Linked DNA regions of Drosophila melanogaster. The protein of the gene in region 2 interacts with the protein of the main gene of each other region in a pairwise test. Each region holds a gene or a part of one and is shown on either strand. Other genes may lie near its edges.

Evidence for each region.
Region 1: the proteins of Cse1 (region 2) and nocte interact in a two-hybrid assay, tested with the Drosophila melanogaster proteins (one large-scale study listed by BioGRID).
Region 3: the proteins of Cse1 (region 2) and Gcn2 interact in a two-hybrid assay, tested with the Drosophila melanogaster proteins (one large-scale study listed by BioGRID).

Annotation. Positions count from the first base shown.
Region 1 is NC_004354.4:10,471,610-10,476,631, reverse strand, and holds the start of nocte (no circadian temperature entrainment), read left to right. Parts: upstream 1-1,956; 5' UTR 1,957-2,579; exon of another isoform or gene 2,580-2,694; intron 2,695-3,044; exon of another isoform or gene 3,045-3,463; intron 3,464-4,488; 5' UTR 4,489-4,662; coding exon 4,663-4,752; intron 4,753-4,848; coding exon 4,849-5,014; intron 5,015-5,022. Other genes in the region: CG2889 (uncharacterized protein), read right to left, coding at 1-24, 237-449, 507-951, 1,010-1,430, 1,492-1,614.
Region 2 is NT_033779.5:16,820,575-16,827,086, reverse strand, and holds Cse1 (chromosome segregation 1), read left to right. Parts: upstream 1-1,879; 5' UTR 1,880-2,020; coding exon 2,021-2,105; intron 2,106-2,587; coding exon 2,588-3,447; intron 3,448-3,518; coding exon 3,519-4,002; intron 4,003-4,070; coding exon 4,071-4,373; intron 4,374-4,438; coding exon 4,439-4,595; intron 4,596-4,651; coding exon 4,652-4,952; intron 4,953-5,025; coding exon 5,026-5,763; 3' UTR 5,764-5,931; downstream 5,932-6,512. Other genes in the region: mdy (midway), read right to left, coding at 371-604, 665-937, 998-1,308, 1,365-1,508, 1,569-1,677, 6,157-6,209, 6,278-6,369, 6,428-6,512; CG13280 (uncharacterized protein), read left to right, coding at 6,081-6,144. UniProt on the Drosophila melanogaster protein: Export receptor for importin alpha. Mediates importin-alpha re-export from the nucleus to the cytoplasm after import substrates have been released into the nucleoplasm.
Region 3 is NT_033777.3:31,393,794-31,401,772, reverse strand, and holds Gcn2 (Gcn2), read right to left. Parts: upstream 6,114-7,979; 5' UTR 5,783-6,113; coding exon 5,717-5,782; intron 5,651-5,716; coding exon 5,481-5,650; intron 5,372-5,480; coding exon 4,860-5,371; intron 4,788-4,859; coding exon 4,160-4,787; intron 4,107-4,159; coding exon 3,534-4,106; intron 3,469-3,533; coding exon 3,292-3,468; intron 3,228-3,291; coding exon 2,729-3,227; intron 2,671-2,728; coding exon 1,618-2,670; intron 1,556-1,617; coding exon 585-1,555; intron 523-584; coding exon 396-522; 3' UTR 213-395; downstream 1-212. Other genes in the region: Ugt35D1 (UDP-glycosyltransferase family 35 member D1), read left to right, coding at 6,519-6,750, 6,811-7,979.

The DNA.
Region 1 (5,022 bases), on a different chromosome or scaffold from region 2:
CGCAGGCGGTGTACATTGGCAAAGCTGTAACAGATAATTTCATATCAAATACTCAACTTGCAAGACAGTTTTTTTATCTTAAAAAAATTATTTCTTTCTTGCTATTCTCGAAACAGTGTGAGTGCGGAATAAGTAGACAGCTATCCCTCTCATTTGCGTGTGGAATGAATAAAGATTACTAATTCAAATATGGGGCAAGAATTCCAATTCGATCAGAGACCCTGCTCTATTCTCACCTTTTGCAGCAGATCTCGCAGGTGTGCTCCAGTTGATCGGTGTCGTGCTTGGCCAGATGATTGGCCATACGGCGCTCGCTGCTGAAGGTGCGTTCGCACTTGGGGCACGGGAACTTGAGCACCTTGCCGATTTGAGCCACCTTGTTGTGCACCGTCTCGATATGAGTGGCCAAGTAGTCCTGCGAGTTGAGCGACTTCTTGCAAATGGTGCAGCTATGGGATTTTAAAGTCTATGTAGCAACAGACAGAACCCTCGGGCTTCAAACTCACGTAAATAGCTTGGGGTTGATATGTTTGCGGATGTGGTCCATCAGCTTGGAAGCGCGTGTAAAGACTTTGCCGCAGCACTTGATGTAGTACTCGCGCTGGTGCACCTCCAGGAAGTGGGTCTTCAATTCGGATAGGTAGGGAGCACTAAATTCGCACAGGTCGCAGCTTGCACTCATGTAGCTAGCAATGGCCTTCTCGTAGCTCTTGGCCAGCTGAGCACGGGAGCAGCCCTTGGGCTTGCGCTCGAGAACGGCCTGTAGCTCGGACTCCTGCGACTCGGTGGTTGTTCGCTGGTCAGGTGCCTTCCTGCGCCGACGCTTGCCACCATCGTCGAGCAGATCTGCAAGCTCCTGCTGCAGCGATATCGGACCCTGATCCTTGGAGGAACGTGCCGAGGTTTTGCGCTTGGGCTTCATTTTCGATTTCAGACGGACCAGGGGTTCATCTGCAATGGAACAGGAACTTAGTTACGGCTAATCCTTGGGAAACATTAAGATAATAACCATCTGAGGAGTCAGATTCAGATTCCGGCTGCCCCTCGGTCACCTCCGGTTCGCTATCACTAGCTTGCAGGCAGGGCTTCTCGTCCTCCTCCTCCTCGCAGGGCAGCTGCTCCTTGATCGGTTCCCTGACTTCCACACTGTCCACATTCACGTCCAGCACGCTTCCCAGCAGACTAAGGTTGTGCAGGTCCAACGGTTTCTCGTCCATGTCGCCAGCCGCCAGCGGCAGTTCGTCGATGTTGACGTCCACGTCCACACCGCCCGTCCACTTCATGGCCGCACAGTCGACGTCCACGGTAAGGAACTCCTTCTTGAGTGAGCACTGCTTCTGCTCCACCAGCTGCCAGAAGCCATTGAAGTCCTCCAGATGCTCACAGCACTCGGTACAGACGCTGGTCGAGATGCCGTCGTCTGGTAGGATCTGCATGGGATGGCTTATTGGAATTGTTTTGATACCATTGGTATTTGCCAGATACACTCACCTCCAGCTGCAGAAACTTCGCAATCATCTTGACCAGGCGCGTCTCCGCAAGCGTATCGTCCGTCTCAAAGAGGAAGACAGCGCTTCCGGGACTAAGACATCGCAGGCAAAGGCGACAAATCATTTCGCGCGAACAGAACCACAACGCAAAGTCAAATAAATAAAAAATTTAAACAGTTTTTCGTTGTAAACAACATAATTCACCTATCGTGAATCGATAACAGAATCCAATTGTGAATGGCAAAACTTCATCTCAGGAGTTTTTTGCGGGGTGGCCACCCTGATCGTTGAGTATTTCTCTTTAATTTCTCTTACAATTTATGGTCTACGTTTTTAATTGTCTGCAAAATACGCTGTAAACGATTATCCATTAATTAAAAATCGAAAATATGAAACTTAATATATCGCTGGATACACATCAAAACGATGGCATTCTGCGGACGGTCAGGCAGCACGCCAATCGACCCACACAACTCTGGCAACGCTTGCCGTAAAATGGCAAAAAAATAATACATACGATTTAAAACTAATGGACAATTACGTATTACGTGAAAAGAACGCAACGCAAATAATCAAAACAAATAAGAAACGCAACTCGTGTGCGTGTGTAGTGTGTGTGCAGAGCTAAAACCTAGCGAAGGAAAGGCAAAAACCCGTGGAAAAAGCGAATTCAAACGGGTTTACTCGAAGCCTCCTCACCCGATACCATTTTCCACCTACACTTGCAAAAAAGCGACAGCGCGCGAGAGGGACGGCGCGAGTGAGCGGAGAGTGGGAGAGCGCAGTGCAAGTGAGTGGGAGCGAGAGCGCTGACAAAGCCAGCGCAACATAGCGAAAATCGCAACCAAATCGAAATCGAAATTCAACCAAATCGAAGATTCTGGCGAACAAAGGCGACTAACAACAACAACTGCAGCAGCGGCACGTCTCGTCTTGGTTGCGCTCTCTTTTGTTTTCGTCCCGTGTTTTAACAAGCGGCGAAACGGGCGCTGAGTAAGCGCCAGAAAGAGTGCAAAAAAAAGGCGAAGGAAAGAAAGAAGCCAAGGAGCAACGAACTGTGTTTGCGGTGTGTGCTCTGCGTGCGAAAGGGTAAGCTCTATGGTCTCTCATGCTCTCGCTCTGGAAGTAGGCCGGAACCGAGATTTGTTTGCTAAATTATGTTTAATTGCACAGCGGGTTTGTAAATCTGTGATTTTGTTTGTAGAAAATACGCATTGTATCAAAGAAATATTTTTGTCGGTTCTGTCAAATTCGACGTGTGGGAGTGGGAGGGAAGTTCAGCTAGTCATGTTGTCCCGCTCTATATCGCAAACAGCGTTGCATTTGTCGTCGGCAGGTCATCGTGGTCCGTTTTCTCTTTTTGTCGGCATCGATGCATAGAGTCCGTGTTAATTTCCGTTTAATCGCTAAATAGCACGCTCTCTAATTGTTTAATAATTGCCAGGCGACTGCCACCCCCGGAATTAGTTTCACTCGGCGGTCTGGCTGGATCCCAACGGACCAGGTGGCAACGCCGCGCTCCACACCACTCACGCACGCAATACATTCGAAAAGTGAGAAGTGGTAGAGGAAGAACTCGAGGAAGAAGAATTAGCGGCAAACTTTATGTTGGACGGTGAAAAGCAGAATCAAAAGATATCAATTTCCGCGAAGTTAACAGTTAAATAACCAACATACAGGCGGCCAAGTGTGCCAGCAGACCGCGAAACATTCGAAGTAAACAAATTCAAGCGTTTTCCATTCAGTTTATCATCGCTGCCCAACAAACGAAACTCCCCGAGTGTATTGCTGTGTGCGTGCGTGCTGTTTAAACGGTATATTTTACTCGTCTCTCCTCTTTGTTTGCCTTTGCCAGCCACTGTGCCATGCAAAATTAATAAAAGGATACGGCTGTAAAACAAAAGGTGGTCAAAAAAAAAAATTGCACTCGTCGATTAAATAATAACTATCAAATCCTCTCGGTTTCTGCGAACGTAAGTGTGTGTGTGTGCGTGATGTGTGCGCCTGTGCCTGCGTGGTGTTAGTGTGCGTTGTGCTTGTGAATGGTTGTTATTACAAAAAGGAGACATAGAATTGTTGCCAAGCGTTTAGATTGTCTTGTACTCCCCCCACTTGCATCTGTCAAATTGGTTACATTTTAAATGCCGGCCTTTGTTGTTGTCGCTCTTGTTGCGAGGATTTTACTGGCCCCGTTTTTTCTATTGTTGCTGTAGTTGTCAGCCATTGTTCGGCCGCCCCTTCACGCCCCCTGCCGCAATTATTACAAGACGCCACCGCAAAAAATTCTTTCAATGCGTTGCCGCTTCTGCCGCTGCTGGCGCTGGTGTGTGTGTGTGGGTAAATCTATCTAGCTGTCCCGCTTCCGCTGTCACCCGCCCAAGGCAGCCTCTCAGTTGCGTGTGCTGCGAGGCACTGGCTGTCCTGCTCGCACCAAACATTGCCTGCATTCAGTGTCGGATCAAAGGGGGGAGCGAAACTGGGAAATAGTTGCCCCAAACGTTTTCGTAATAAACGCAATATCAACAAAATACCAAATGATTCTACAAACAGTTTCGAATGGTAGTAGTCGAATGGAATTACACTCTAGTTGTTACTTTAACGAAGCATTAAGAACTTGAACGTATTTCGCAACAGCATGTGTTGGAAAACTACCAAGAAACTTCTTTAGTTTCAGTGGAAATGAAATATCAAAAGCATTTCTACTAAAACTCGGTTTAGTTGAAACCCATACCTATTATTGTTTGAAGAGGTTATTTTCCAAATTATTTGCAATATCTTTCTAAGAAGAACCAATTTTCGCTACAGATCCACCTCTGTAAGCGTTAGTGGTGCGGATCGGTTGGGGGTGGCTAAATAGAGGAGTTCCCGGACACACAATAACCAGCGTGTTGAAAACAATTTGTCGGGAGCACCACCCACTTGCAACTGACTAGCCTCGCCTCGCTACGCCTGCACCTATACTCAATTAAATGCCTATCTACGCTTTTGTATTTTGCAGCCCACCAGAAAGACTGAAACAAGGAGCTTCGGCCCAAAAGCGATCCCAGCTCCTTAAACTCATTCTCGTCAAGAACCACAGCCACATCCTAGCCCATCCTCCAGCGCAGCGGGAAGACGAGGAGCGCGGCGGTGGCGAGAAGGAAGCTAACGCTAATGAGGATCTATTGGCAGCATGAGTACACTGGGGGGAAGTAGGGGAGAGCGAAATGCCAAGCCCAAATTCACAGCGTTAGATATAAATCGCATGTACAAGAATAGCCGCGTAAGTAGCGAGCCCCTAGACCTAGATCTAGATCTACATCTAGATCTTGATAGATCCAAACCTATCTGATCGCCAACTTGTTCTTATTGTTTGCAGGGCGAGTCAAGTGAACCATCTGCACAAAAGAATCAAGTGCCACGTAAACATGGAATGCAAATCTTGGGCAAAGTGCCGTCCGCTAGGCGACCACCAGCCAATTTGCCATCCCTGAAGGCCGAGACCCACACCAGCAGCAACAACAATCTCTTAGTCTCAGTCGAAGGTGGGTGT
Region 2 (6,512 bases):
GACCATATGCCGCATAAACAATCGATAGATCGTGTATTCTAGGGAAGGAACTATCGAACAAAGAGCTTAATAATTACATTTTTTTCGTTTCATATAATTTAAAAATTAAAAACATTTTATTTAGTTTAAAATTTGATTTATTTACATGACACTTAAATTCATTAACAAATGCATTCAATAACAATCTATTTGTGTTAATCAGTACTACATGCATGTGCAAAAGTCATACAAAATATGCTTTGTAAATTGGCAATCACAAGTTTCCTTCTTAACTTGCATTCTGGCTTATAAATTACGAAAAGTACACGGACCCGACCGATGCAGATATTTCAGTGTTGCTCCATTTTTAAATGTTAACCTTTTTTGAAACCTAACTACTGTAGTCGGTGCCGTTGAGCGAGTTTTTGAAATGCTGGACGACATAATCGTGATAATAGGCCATTATGCACAGAGGCTGACCAAGAATAATGGAAGCCCACACGATTATATTGCCCATTCGGGGACCCAGTTTCTTTTCAATGGATTTGGATATGGCCGATAGGGGAATCTGACCCATCATGCCCATAAATGCCCAGATCTTGTATATTTGCAAAGGAACTGAAACCTGAAAATATAAATTATATTATTGTACAAAATTTGAAATTCTAAATATCAACCCTCATACCAAATATTCATGGAAGACGGCACTGAAAAGAAAGACAATAGTAGAGGCCTGTCTTGAGGAATATCCCATTTGGACCACAGGGATGTAGAGATGACGCACGCACCACCTATGAACTGGCATGTTCCATGTACGCCAGAAGGTGTCAATGTTATTCGCATTCCACCAATCACAATAAAAATTGCGATCTGCAAAATTCAGCAGTTCGCCGACCGCATTAAGAAAAGAGTGGAACATTAGATAGAAAAAGCAGAGCCAGCAAAGATGATTGGGTAGCTAATTAAAGAAAAATTATTAAATAATACTCAAACGTTTTATAATTTTCACTCTACCAACCGCAAGTTTAAGAAGTCGCTCAGTGGCTAAGGCCACGTCCATATTGGAGAACGGAATCAGGGAGTTCCGAACCGATGGAATGATCCATTGTTGAAACAAGGCCATAACCACATTCACTCCAATCACCACCTCCAATAAACGCTTCAGCAAAAAGCGTTTGCGCACGCGAGAAGTTCGCGGGAAATTCAACTCATAGCAGAGAGTGGGCGCGCAAAGGAAGTACAGGAGATCCTTGTATGTGAGATTATCAGGATATTGCACCAGCTTGGAAACGTCCTCGTCTTCTTCACCTCCATTCAAAACTCCTTTTTCTGGATGAAAGATGAATTTTTAATATATGACATTCCGTTGAGAGATCTCAACATACTTAGTTCCGCCAAAGTTATGCTTGGTCGACGCTCCCGCGGATTCTTTTGATAATAAGTCTGACGGCACCACATATTCGTCTGCACATAGGACCATAGTTTTAGGAACAACACAGAGTAAAAGAAGCAAACTGTTGAAGCGCCCACTAAAGATTAACAGATAATTAAATATTTTAAAATACACCTAAACTAAGTTAATTTCTCACTCAAACTAAAAGCATGTCCTTTTAGGTGAATTGTTACCACCGGTAGGCAAACCAAGACAACAATGTTCACTATCTGGATGAACAAGCCCAAGCCCTCTGCAATTATTTCCTGGAAAAGAATTACAAATTTGTTTTAATTTTTAATTCATTCAGTTGGTTTTTGAAAAAAAAAAACAGGAATTGATATCATATCAAATGATACTAAATTAGTAAAGTTCAATATGCGATATTTCTGATATGAACATTTAAAATCTAAAACCATCGAATCCTAGTAACAGTAACTATAAACAATCGATATCGAAAACTCGCCCTGAGTTCCATCCCCAGATCGGCGAGCATTGTGTGCGAAAACGAATTGCGATTTCATTTCATGTTGCAAGAGTGTGGAGGAACAAGCCACGAGTGATATAAATTAAAGCAAATAGGACCATCGAAAAGAAAATATACTCAAAATGGAAGTGACAGAGGCAAATTTACAGCTGCTGGCCGGTTATTTGCAGCAGACGCTGAGCGCCGATCCCAATGTCCGCCGGCCGGGTGAGTGTGTGTGTGTAGGAATGCATGTGCACACACACAACTGCACATGCGTGCAGGGGTGCTGATGTGTATGTGCGCGGGAAATGGTTTTTGGCGACGCCAAAGAAAAATACGGTTTTTAAATCCATTTGAAGTTGTCTACAAGTTTTCCCTATGTCAAAGAATTTATACAGTCACGCTTTCTATTAATTGAATCGAGATTAGCTGATCTTGATATGACTGTTGCCAAGCCACCTTTCAAAACCATAGACCTAGTTTTAGGATTATTTAAGGCATACCAAGCCTATAGACTCCGCACCACCATAACCAAGCTTTTGAAAATATTGTATAAAAAACTTATTGCTTGAATTGAAAATATGTTTAGTCTAACGAGAAACACTGTAAGCTCCTATCGGTTCCTTATATATTTGTATTTGCAACATCCGATTTACATAAGTACAATAGTTCTAACAAACACACCATTTCCTTCTCTACTTTTATAGCCGAAAAACTTTTGGAGTCCACGGAACTACAGCAGAATTACCCGATCCTACTGCTCAATCTGATAGACAAAGCCCAAATGGACATGACTACGCGGGTGGCGGGAGCCATTGCCTTTAAGAACTATATTAAGCGGAATTGGGCAGCCCACCTTGACAGCGACGGACCGGATCGCATCCACGAAAGTGACAGGAATACAATTAAGACCTTGATCGTTACGCTAATGCTCCACTCACCGGTGGCATTGCAAAAACAACTAAGCGACGCGGTCAGCATCATAGGCAAATATGATTTTCCCAAAAAATGGCCGCAGCTTATCGACGAGATGGTGGAGAGATTTGCCTCTGGTGATTTCAATGTCATCAACGGCGTTTTGCAAACCGCACACTCGCTTTTCAAGCGCTATCGTTATGAGTTCAAGTCGCAGGCTTTGTGGGAGGAGATCAAATTTGTACTGGATCGTATGGCTAAACCTCTGACAGACCTGCTCCAGGCCACAATGCAGTTGACTAAGGTGCACGAGAACAATGCCGGCGCCCTGAAGGTCATCTACGGTTCATTGGTCCTTGTGAACAAGGTGTTTTTCTCGCTCAACTCCCAAGATTTGCCGGAGTTCTTTGAGGACAATATCAATACGTGGATGGGAGCGTTTATTCAGCAACTAGCTGCGGATGTGCCATCCCTGCGTACTGCAGATGATGAGGATGCGGGTGTTCTAGAGCATCTGCGTGCTCAAGTCTGCGAGAACATTTGCCTTTATGCAAAAAAGTACGACGAGGAGTTCAAGCCATTTATGGAGCAATTTGTGACTGCAGTTTGGGAGTTACTGGTCAAGACAAGTTTGCACACCAAGTACGATTCGGTAAGTAACAGAAACCATACGCTTTCTTAATAATTATTTTTATAATTTTTCCATTCTTATTTTGCGCACAGTTGGTCTCCCATGCTCTGCAGTTCCTCTCTGTGGTGGCTGACCGCCAGCATTATCAGAGCATTTTCGAGAACCCAGAGATTCTTGCTCAGATCTGCGATAAAGTTGTCATTCCCAATCTAGACATCCGGCCCTCAGATGAAGAAATTTTCGAGGACAGTCCGGAGGAGTACATTCGAAGGGATATTGAAGGCTCTGACATTGACACACGACGTCGGGCGGCATGTGATCTGGTGAAGACTCTATCAATCAACTTTGAACAAAAGATCTTTGGCATTTTTGGCCAGTATCTAGAGAGATTGTTGACCAAGTACAAGGAGAATCCGGCTACCAATTGGAGGTCAAAGGATACGGCAATTTATTTGGTTACTTCGTGGGCATCTCGAGGAGGAACTCAAAAGCATGGCATCACACAGACCTCGGAGTTGGTTCCACTTCCCGAATTTTGTGCCCAGCAAATTATTCCAGAACTGGAAAGACCCAACAGTAAGCCCAAATAACCATTTTCCCAATTCGATCATCTTATATCTGCATTCTTCCAATGCTCTTTGCAGTTAACGAGTTTCCTGTTCTTAAGGCTGCTGCAATTAAGTATGTAATGGTGTTCCGCAGCATTTTGGGTCCCCAAGTCTTAGCAAGCTGCCTGCCCCAGCTAATTCGACATCTCCCCGCCGAAAGCTCTGTTGTTCATAGCTATGCTGCTTGTTCAGTGGAGAAGATCCTTTCTATGCGGGATGCTAGCAACGCGATCGTTTTTGGTCCTCAGATTTTAGCACCTTACACAACTGAACTAATTAGTGGGTTATTTGCGACCCTTTCACTCCCAGGTTCCGGTGAAAATGAGTACGTAATGAAAGGTGAGTTTGGGGGACTATCTCATACGTTTCTAATATGTTAACAAAACTCTAATTATTATTATTAGCCATTATGCGAAGTTTTTCGGTCTTGCAATCGGCCGCCATGCCCTTTATGGGCGTCGCCCTTCCACGGCTTACCGAGATTCTCACCCAAGTGGCCAAGAATCCATCGCGTCCGCAGTTCAACCACTATCTTTTTGAAACGCTGGCTCTGTGTATAAAGTAAGTGTTATGCATTTTGGTGGTAAAGAGCAATAACAAATTTTCTTTTTCCCTAGAATTGTTTGTCACGCCGATTCCTCGGCTGTGAGCTCCTTTGAGGAGGCATTGTTCCCAGTTTTCCAGGGCATCTTACAGCAGGACATTGTCGAATTTATGCCCTACGTCTTCCAGATGCTTTCTGTGCTGTTGGAAATGCGCGAGGGCACTGGTACCATACCGGAACCCTATTGGGCTTTGTTCCCCTGCTTGTTGTCACCAGCTCTGTGGGACAGGACGGGCAATGTCACACCATTAATTCGCCTGATTTCTGCTTTCATCAAGCAGGGATCTGCTCAGATTCAAGCCTTGGGTAAACTGGTAAGTTATATTATACATCACAAATTTTATTTTACAGAGTCCAATCTTATGCATTTTTCAACATATATTTCAGAGCGGTATCCTCGGAATATTCCAAAAGATGATTGCCTCCAAGGCTAATGACCATGAAGGGTTTTATCTTCTCCAGAATCTGCTTTCCTACTACCCTCCCGCTGAGATTCAAACTAATCTTCGTCAGATCTTTGGCCTGCTCTTCCAGCGATTGTCTCTCTCAAAGACTCCGAAGTATTTAAGCGGCATCATTATCTTCTTTAGCTTTTATGTGATTAAGTTCAGTGGCAGTCAGATGGCTCAATTGATAGATGAGATTCAGCCTAACCTATTTGGCATGCTGCTGGACCGCGTGTTTATCACCGAAATGGGCAAGATTCCCAAGGAACAGGATCGCAAAATGGTGGCCGTGGGTGTCACTAAGCTACTTACAGAAACTCCTGAGATATTGCAGCAACAGTACGCTACTTTCTGGCCACGACTGCTGCATTCTCTAATCGATCTTTTTGAACGACCACCAGAGAAATTGATGGGTCTCGAAATAGGAGAGACAGCTGGAGTTGCCGAAGATCCCGATGCGGGCTATCAAGTGGCATTTGCCCAACTGACTCATGCCCAGCCCAACCAGCAGGATCACCTGGCTGAGATTAAGGATGCTCGCCAGTTTCTAGCAACTTCGCTCTCTAAGTTTGCCCAGGCTAGGGCAGGAGAATTTTCCACTTTGTTGTCGCCCCTGGAGCCGGAGTACAAGCAAGTACTCCAGAAATATTGTGATCAGGCTGGAGTACGCATTGCCTAAAGGAATCGACCGACTTTAAGCTCATTCATCGCAATCAAACCTCGCCATACATTCGAAAATTTATGCATACACGCACTCGATCACTCATTGCATGCCCAGTTTATTGTCATTTAAAAATTGTATCTAATATATGTAAGTTTTGTAAACAATTAAAAATTATGTTTTCCGAAACTAGTGTGTTTCAACTGCGATAACTTCTGAATATTTCATACTTTTCTCTCTGATAAACAAATCATTTCTTGTCAAACACCCTTCACTCAATTTCAAAATTGTGAATTTAGAATTAACTAGATATTTCGAAATTTATCATATAAGCCATGTTCAAGCTAATAACGTATTTCAAGTCACGATCGAAGAAAATAGGCGTGAGATGCTATCAAAGTAAGTACTTACCATGGCTAGACCCTTCTCCACAGCCAAACAGAGCGAGATATGCACTAAAGAGTCTGTAAAATATGGTGAGACGAAGGTTATCAATTTCGTTTGCGTAATCCTTGATTTTGTGCGTGCTTACAAATGCTCAGGATTAGGGCGTTATGTCCTTCGCCTTCGTTGTGTCCGCTTATGAAGAAGAACCAATCCAGTGGATTGATGCGAATGCCATACCTAAAAAAATAATGAATTAGCTAAAACTTGTATTTCTACTCAAGATCATCGTAGTTACTTTAGGAGATTCTCCAAGCCCAAACGCAGACCTCCAATGCAGAGCAGTAGAAATCCCCAGTTCACCAGTCCAGAAAAATTGGTAA
Region 3 (7,979 bases), on a different chromosome or scaffold from region 2:
AGTTCGGATACTTAATCTTGTTTAAACATAATTATACAAATTCAAAAAGAATCATTTTAGTTTCCAACTATTCTTTTGACTTAGGAGCGAACAGCTTTAGTATGGATTTAACTTTAAACCAAGTTATAATAAAATATGTGTTTATGAATGAGAGCTTCCACTAGAAAGGCATTCAATAAATTGGCAGAATAGAAATAAGTTCTCAACCATTTGAAATGGATACAGAAACATACAATCTCATCAATTTTGATTCGCACAAACAAACAAAAGTGTTAATGGCACGGAGGGCAGCCAGTTAAGTAGAATTTCGGCGAAAATAATTTGTGACACTTTCGAGCTTACACTACTGGCTGGTCTACTAAGTAGTTCAGCCGATTCTATGCATTTGATGTTGGCTAGATGATGACGCGGTAGTAGGAATCGGATATGCTGTACAAGGCCACAATGGGAGTCTTGGCATCGCTCAGATAGTCGACAACCTCTTCGTTTATCTCGGAGATGTAGCGCTTGTATTTCGAAAATCTGTATGAATTGATGAAGTTGCAGTTGAAAGCAGACCAAATAGAATTGATTTGTTAACTTACCGCTCGATCACATAGTTGATTTCCGGTTCAGTCTCTCGCTTGCGTATTTCCCGTGGATTAATGGCCCCCACAATGGCATTTACAACAGCAGGCGGCAACTCCACCACCAGGACCACAAAGGTCTCCTTCTTGAGGAACTGCGATAGCGTTGAGCTCATCTGCTGCGCCACCTGGTTCTCTAGCCGCCTTTTGTAGTTCGCCGTTGGCTTGTCGTGGGTGAGAAACGTCACCTGAAGATTCGGCAACTGGCTATAGTTGTTCTTGATGGTGGCATTCGATGCGGAGGTGCTCAGACCATTCTCGCCGCGTTCTCTTTCCTTTCCACCACTGCTTCTGTTGTCACCACTACCCAAGGCTGACAACTGGCTGAAGTTGTCCACGGTGGTCCCATTGAGTCCATCACTTCGCAGCATCTTCTGGATGAACTCCACCAGTTCGGTTCTTGTTAGGTGACGCTCCTGGAATCGTTCCCTCTCGAAAGATCTCACTCTCAATGAGCCATTTTCCGCCACCAGGATGACATGTAACGCCCCAAGGCGGGCAAGATCCTGTGCTTCATCTCCCAATTCGCTGGCGGCCTCCACAATTCCACATCGGATGCCAACCGACCACAGCAGACGCATGATATAGGTCACATCCTTTAGCGGTGGACGGGTTCCACACACGCAAATGCCCACATCTATCGCCCGACAATCCTTAGCGTATTCCACACCAACAGCAGCTACCAGCTTGTCTAGGGAGAACGTCAAGCCCGCTCCACTAAGAACTCCACGTGCTGGCATGGCGGGATTAAACTTCTGCGCCTGCTTCTGGAATTCATGCAGCATAGAGTCGTATCTCTCCCCAATCGCCAGAACCGAAGGATGGCCAGAGCGATTGGGCTTCAGGTCAGCGGTCATCTGCCACACAATTCCACCGTTGCTGGCACGATCGAAGCTGATGGGCAAGCCAGCCCATATGTGTATAGGACACTGAAAGGGAATGGGAACCGGTTAGACAAATATATTGCTTTTAAAAGAAGATTACTACTTACCTTTACGCCTAGACTGTAAGCCAGTCCCACAACTGTTTCAAGTTCCCGCAATGCTCCCCTTGCCAGTGAAGCTGCTTCTCCCTTTCCACGCATCAAAGATTTCAGCGCGGAATCGTCCACAGTGCTTCTGGAACCAGTCAGCAGAAAGTTAGCTAACAACATGTCCATCAGAGTTTGAGCAGATGTTCGCGACTTTTCCATAATCCCGGTAATACTCGAGTGAAATTGGAAGCGTGAGATGCGCGACTCGATGAAGTCCATGGTGCCCTCGAAGAGTGCTCCATACTGAGCCTTTGGTACATTGCAGAAGATGAGGATGGCCCTCAAGAGATTAGTGTGGTTCATGCGGATCGCCAAATTCTTTTCGCGTAATCGGGGCAGTTCACTGGTGATTTCAAAAGCCAACGACAGCAGCTCGGCATCAACTAAATGACTTCCAGTTGTGGGTGCAATTATATCGAAAGAGCAGTCGTAGCTTTGCTTGGGATGAAAATTAAACACTCGCTCCTCCCGATAGACACGGTCCACACAGTAGCGCCGGATGAGATTCACGCTGTTCATGGTAACGTGACGCGCAAACTGAGTCCGCAGGTCACAGGGTAGCACCACCACACATCCCGAGTGGGTCATAAGGTGTACGGCATTGGCGTTCGCATTCGCAGTGCTGTTCCTTGCGGAAAGTGGGGATAAGAGCGGTGAGTCCACCTCTATAGCTCCATGCTTGCGGAATAAATTCACGACCTTAGCCTTAACAAACTCAATCACTGGGTTCAGGGATACTATATCATCGATTATAATTGCCGAGTTCCAGGATTTCATAGCTCGACTGCTTCCCAAGTGGTAGGTGTGTTCCAGCACCTCGTCGCTCTCCTGCTGAAGACATCGGGCAACTAGGTTCTTGTAGGCCTTGCTCTGCGGATTAGCGAGGGCGTGACGCAGCATTTCTTGGAGCTCATTGGCCTCCAACTGGGCTGGTGGAACCAGGTCTGAGATGAGCAGCTCCTCGGCAGTAGGTCTCTGGGCGGGATCGTGGTTGAGAAGCCACTGAAGCATCTTAAAAATAATATAACAGTGAAAATCTTAGCTTTTATCAGGATGGCGACGTGTTTACCTTCACCGTCTTCTCATACTTGGGATCCTTAAGCATAGCATCCGGTATATTAATGGAAACATTCCTGAGAGCCATAATGGTCTGAGCCCGCTCCATGCTTGTGTCGAACGGCGGTTGGCACATCTCGAAAAGAATGATTCCCAGGGTGTACATATCAACCTTCTGGTTGTACACAGACTTGGAAGCATTTCCTGTCAATTCGGGAGCCACGTATAGAGTGGTGCCGACCTTACCAGTACCAGTGCCGTCTTCCGCACTGGTTATCTGGTTAACAGGCGCAGGCGCTGCGTCGTGGGCTTGGAGAGCCAGAAAACTGGTGGTGGCCAGACCAAAGTCACCGATCTTAATCTGATCGTGCGAGTCCAAGAAGATGTTAACGGGCTTTAGGTCCCGATGGATAATGCCTTGCTGGTGAATATGCGCGAGACCCTCGGCAATCTCCCGAAATAAGCGCCACAGACGATCCGTGTCATTGAAGAGATTGTCATCGATGGCGGTGCTACAGTATTATTAAATAGTTATTTAATTAGTTATTTAATTGGTGAAGCTTTCGAAAAACATACCGCAATGTGCATTTCTCACAGAACTCCATCTGGATGTACATGACCTGCATCAAAGGTTTTGGCGAATTGGTCTTGCCTCTGGTGGAATCCTCCTGCTCTTCGTCGTCGTAGACAGCCACCTTGCCGTTGGAGTCCACAAATTCAATGCCATCCGAATCAGAGTCCTCCATGTTGGGTCTGATGGATACGAAGAGGTGTTAGCGTTAATTCAAATTAGAGGAAGCATAGAAGCTAATTTTTACATGTAACCGTTCCACATGCTGGATGAGCTGTCCTCTTCATCCTCGTCCTCCTCTAAAGTGGGCCCCAGCTGTGGTGACTTGGCAGGTTTTACGCTAAGGTCCTGCTGACTCTGGGACCACTCACCGCCCAGCAGCTTATCCATCTCAGCGGCATCTGCGTCATCTACACTTTCTATCCAACTGTTAAAGTATCGAACTACATTCTCATGATTCAGCCGCGAAAGAAGCTCCACCTCGCGCGTCATCTTTTTGTACAGCTGGCGACTCCTCGCGGGCAATGGTATGCGCTTGATGGCGTACTCTCGGTTGTCTAAAATGTTGCGCACCTTTAGCACGTCACCAAAGGCACCCTTTCCCAAGTACATGAGCACCTCGAATTCCGTTCGCAGGCGGGATTGGCTTAGGGCCAGTGTCGGTATCTGGTACGGCATGGCGGATCCAGTGCGCTGGACGGTGTTAGGATGTTGCTGCTGTGGTAATGGCATCACCTGCTGCTGGCCATTGTCGACGTAAAAGCGTAAGAATGGATGCTCCAATAACTCTGATGCGGAAAGAGTTCGGTCCGAGTTACACCTAAAGAAAACATTAAATTAAAAAAGGATTAAGTTTTCATTACAATTAATTACTTGTCTACAAAGTCGCGCATCTCGTAACTGTTAGTGGGCATCAAACTCTCCACCAGGGCACCTAACGCGGGTAAGTCCCCGCAACTGCTGCTTTGTCCAGCTCCGCTCAGAAGTTCTAGAAGATTGGGAACGAGCGAAAAGTCTGATACCCTCACATTGCCTGTGTTGTCCATAAAAACAGTGGTGTCGAGCAGGTGACTATGGGATACACCCTTGTTGTGAAGAAATACTAAGGCGTCCAGCACGCCGCGCGCAACCATTCGTGCGCCGTCCATGCACCAGCCAAGCGAGGAGGAGATGCTGAACACGCTGGTGCCAAGGAGGAAGTCTTGGACCAAATACACAAGTAGACCTTCCTTTCGCTTGATGCACAGTACGCACTCGTACGAGACGAGGTTTTTGTGCTGTAGTTGGGACAGTGAGGACACCTGCTTTTCAATGGAGGCCATCACTTCGTCCACACGATGACTGCCCATGCACTTTGACTCGCTGCTCCAGTGGCACTTGCCTCCGCCGATGCATGGCTGCTCCAGTTGGCTGTACTTGATGTTCCATTCTGTTATGTAGAGCAACTGGCCGCAGTGCATATCTATGCCAGTGTAGGCGATGCAACCTCGTTGGGAGTGACCTAGGAATTACGCACAATAAATTACTTAGTTCAGACGCATTCAAAACAGGAATTCTCTTTAGGAAAGCGAACCCTCACCAACGCAGCATCCACGCTGAATCTGCCTGCCCATCTTGTGGAAGTAGAGCGTCTCCGTGTTGCGGTGATCCAGGCATTTGGAGGGGTAGATGTGACCACGATAGTAGGGCGAGGAGTTCTCGGAGCTCTCCGACGAGCTAGGATGCCGTGGGTTAGACTCGCTCATGCTGCGCCTTGGTTCGCCGCGCCTCTTAGCCTCCGTTTTGAACATCTCTTTGCGCCGCTCCACCTCGTCGATGAGCGTCTGGCGTTGCAGGGACTCCCGCTGCCGCTGTATGTCCTGTAGCTCCTGGTCGCGCTTCTGTTTATCCTGGAGCATCTGGTCGTAGAATGATCCCTTTGGTGGTTTGTTGTGTTCGAGGAGAAAGGCCTGAACGGTCTGGGCCAATTCATAAATCATCACTTCGCCACGTAGCTCTTGGGATTGAGCCTGCAATTGGTTGCGTAGGGCCTCCAGCAGCTGATCCGACATGCCTTTGGACTCCTCCAGAGATATCTTAGGGGGCCTGCGGAAAGTTTGGTTTACTTATTTTGAGTAATGCATTCCACATTCTAGTGGTTAGTTCTATAGTTTAAAATTCAGTTTTTTAAGAATAAGTGGAACTGGGCTCTTACAATTTTGGATACTTTGATGGACAGGTGACGTGCAGCTTGGTGCACACATAGGTTTCCAGTCCGTTCGAGGAGTCTCGAAGTGGGGTAAGTTGTATCCGTATGTCCGTTGGCTTCCACAGGGAAGGATTCGCCTGGGGTCTTAGGTCCTCCACATCACAGCCAAAGATGGACTGTTCCAAGATAAGGAGATAAGCCTTTAGTATCAGCTTCTTGGATGAAACACCTGCTCTGCTCACCTTTATAACCTCCAACTCCTGCGCTTGCCGCTCGCGGAAGGATTCCTTGGCCTTTTCATCCGCCATTTCTGCATTAAATCTCCGGTTAGTGGATAAGTCTTGGCTACATCTGGGTGCTTTGGAATACTGGATCGGAAGTTCCTTCGGATTTCCCACCGGGTTATTTTAGCCGGTGTGCAATTTCACAAACTGCGCTGGCAGCTGTTTCCAAATCAGCTGCGTGCTGCATTACTTTGCTGCTGTATTCGACTTGAATTCGATGTGAAATGAGTTACTACGCGAACTCCTGCCGTTTTTGTTGCGTAAAGAGAACAACCTGTTGCGCTTTCCACTTAATTTTCCGGAAAAAGAAAATTTTTTGCGTATTTTGTACTGAAGGCTAGTGGTGCACAAGTGTCGATAACAAGCCTGAAAGTCCAATGTTGGCACTATCGATACTTGGCGCCAACGTTCGACTTCGTTGTCTTTTGAACCGAAGAATGACAATGGTCGGTTTTCAATAAAATATAGATAAGTGTTTGTTTTCAAACGTAGGCCTTGCCCACAAAGAGGCCTATTCCCATGATAACTAATTGAAAAGAGAAGAAAACTCCTCCCACTGGGATTCCGCGATAAGCGATTTAACAGCACTCTTCACTGTTGACATTCCTTGTTGGTTTTGCTTATCTAATTGAAAATTTGACAATTGTACTCAAAGCGCAGCGGATTAAGGTTATCTGAAATGGAAATAGAGTTTTCATTGGCGATCTGCAGCATTCAGTCTTCCATTTCGTCTAGAAGGCAGAACTTGCCAAGTGCAACAATGCCGCCAATCTTTCTGCTCGTATGTCTTCTTCCTGGTTACTCGGAAGGTGCTCGCATCCTGGCAGTGTTCCCTTTGCCAAGTTCTTCGCATTACTTTTTCGCCTTACCCTACCTTAAGAGTTTGGCCTCCCTGGGCCACGAAATAACCAGTGTAAGTCCGTATCCACAAAGGGAGCCGTTTAGGAATATACACGATATTCCAGTTCCCGAGGTTTTCGAAAACTTTAATGGTGAGATGAGATAAATAAAGATCTGATTTGTCAAATAGAAATACTTACGATATTTTCCAGAGGTCCTTAGGATTGCATCTACTCCCAGGAGCACCTGGCAAAGTAGTGATTTCATCAACGAATATGTCCTTAATCTTACGAAGACAGTGCTGAATAACGAGGGCGTAAGGCGCGATATTCTAGGCCCACAGAAGCCCCATTTCGATCTTGTGATAATGGATCTCTGGCGAATGGACGTGCTCAGTGGCCTGGCTGCCTATTTTGATGCCCCGATCATCGGAATGGCTTCCTATGGCACCGACTGGAAGATTGACGAACTGATGGGCAACGTCTCACCGATTTCTTACCTGCAGTCTCCCTCTTCTCGATTCTACGATCTGGAGGCCTATGGAGAGCGGTTGTTGCACCTGATGGAGCGAACTTTTTCTTATATGAACTATAAATGGCGACATGTGAGAAAACAGGAGACTCTCTATAGTCAATTTTTCCCCAGCGTCGCTGAGCGGAAACCCTTGTCAGAGATATCCCGGAACTTTGATTTGGTCCTGGTCAATCAGCACTTCACACTGGGTCCTCCTCGTCCTTATGTTCCGAATATGATCCAGGTGGGTGGTCTGCATGTCGATCACAGCACAGAGGCTCTGTCCGCCGAACTGGACCACTTTATCCAAGGTGCTGGTGAATCGGGGGTAATCTATTTCTCACTGGGAACCAATGTCAAAAGCAAATCGCTATCCGAGGATCGTCGAAAGGTATTGCTCGAGACTTTCGCCAGCTTGCCACAGCGAATCGTTTGGAAGTTCGAAGATGAACTGCTGCCAGGAAAACCCCCCAATGTTTTCATTAGTAAGTGGTTCCCGCAGCAGGCCATCCTGGCCCATCCCAATGTAAAACTCTTTATAACCCACGGCGGGCTACTGAGCACTATAGAGAGTATTCACCATGGAAAGCCCATGTTGGGGTTGCCCTGCCTATTCGATCAGTTTCGAAATATGGATCATGTCCGGCAAGTGGGTCTTGGTTTGGTCCTCAACATAAAGCAAATGACCAGTGAGGAATTTAGGTCTACAATTATACGGCTGCTAACGAACAAGAGTTTCGAAGAAACGGCAAGGATCACGGCTGCCAGATATCGGGATCAACCAATGAAGCCCATGGAAACGGCGATCTGGTGGACCGAGTATGTCCTGTCTCACAAGGGAGCTGCTCACATGCAAGTCGCCGGCAAG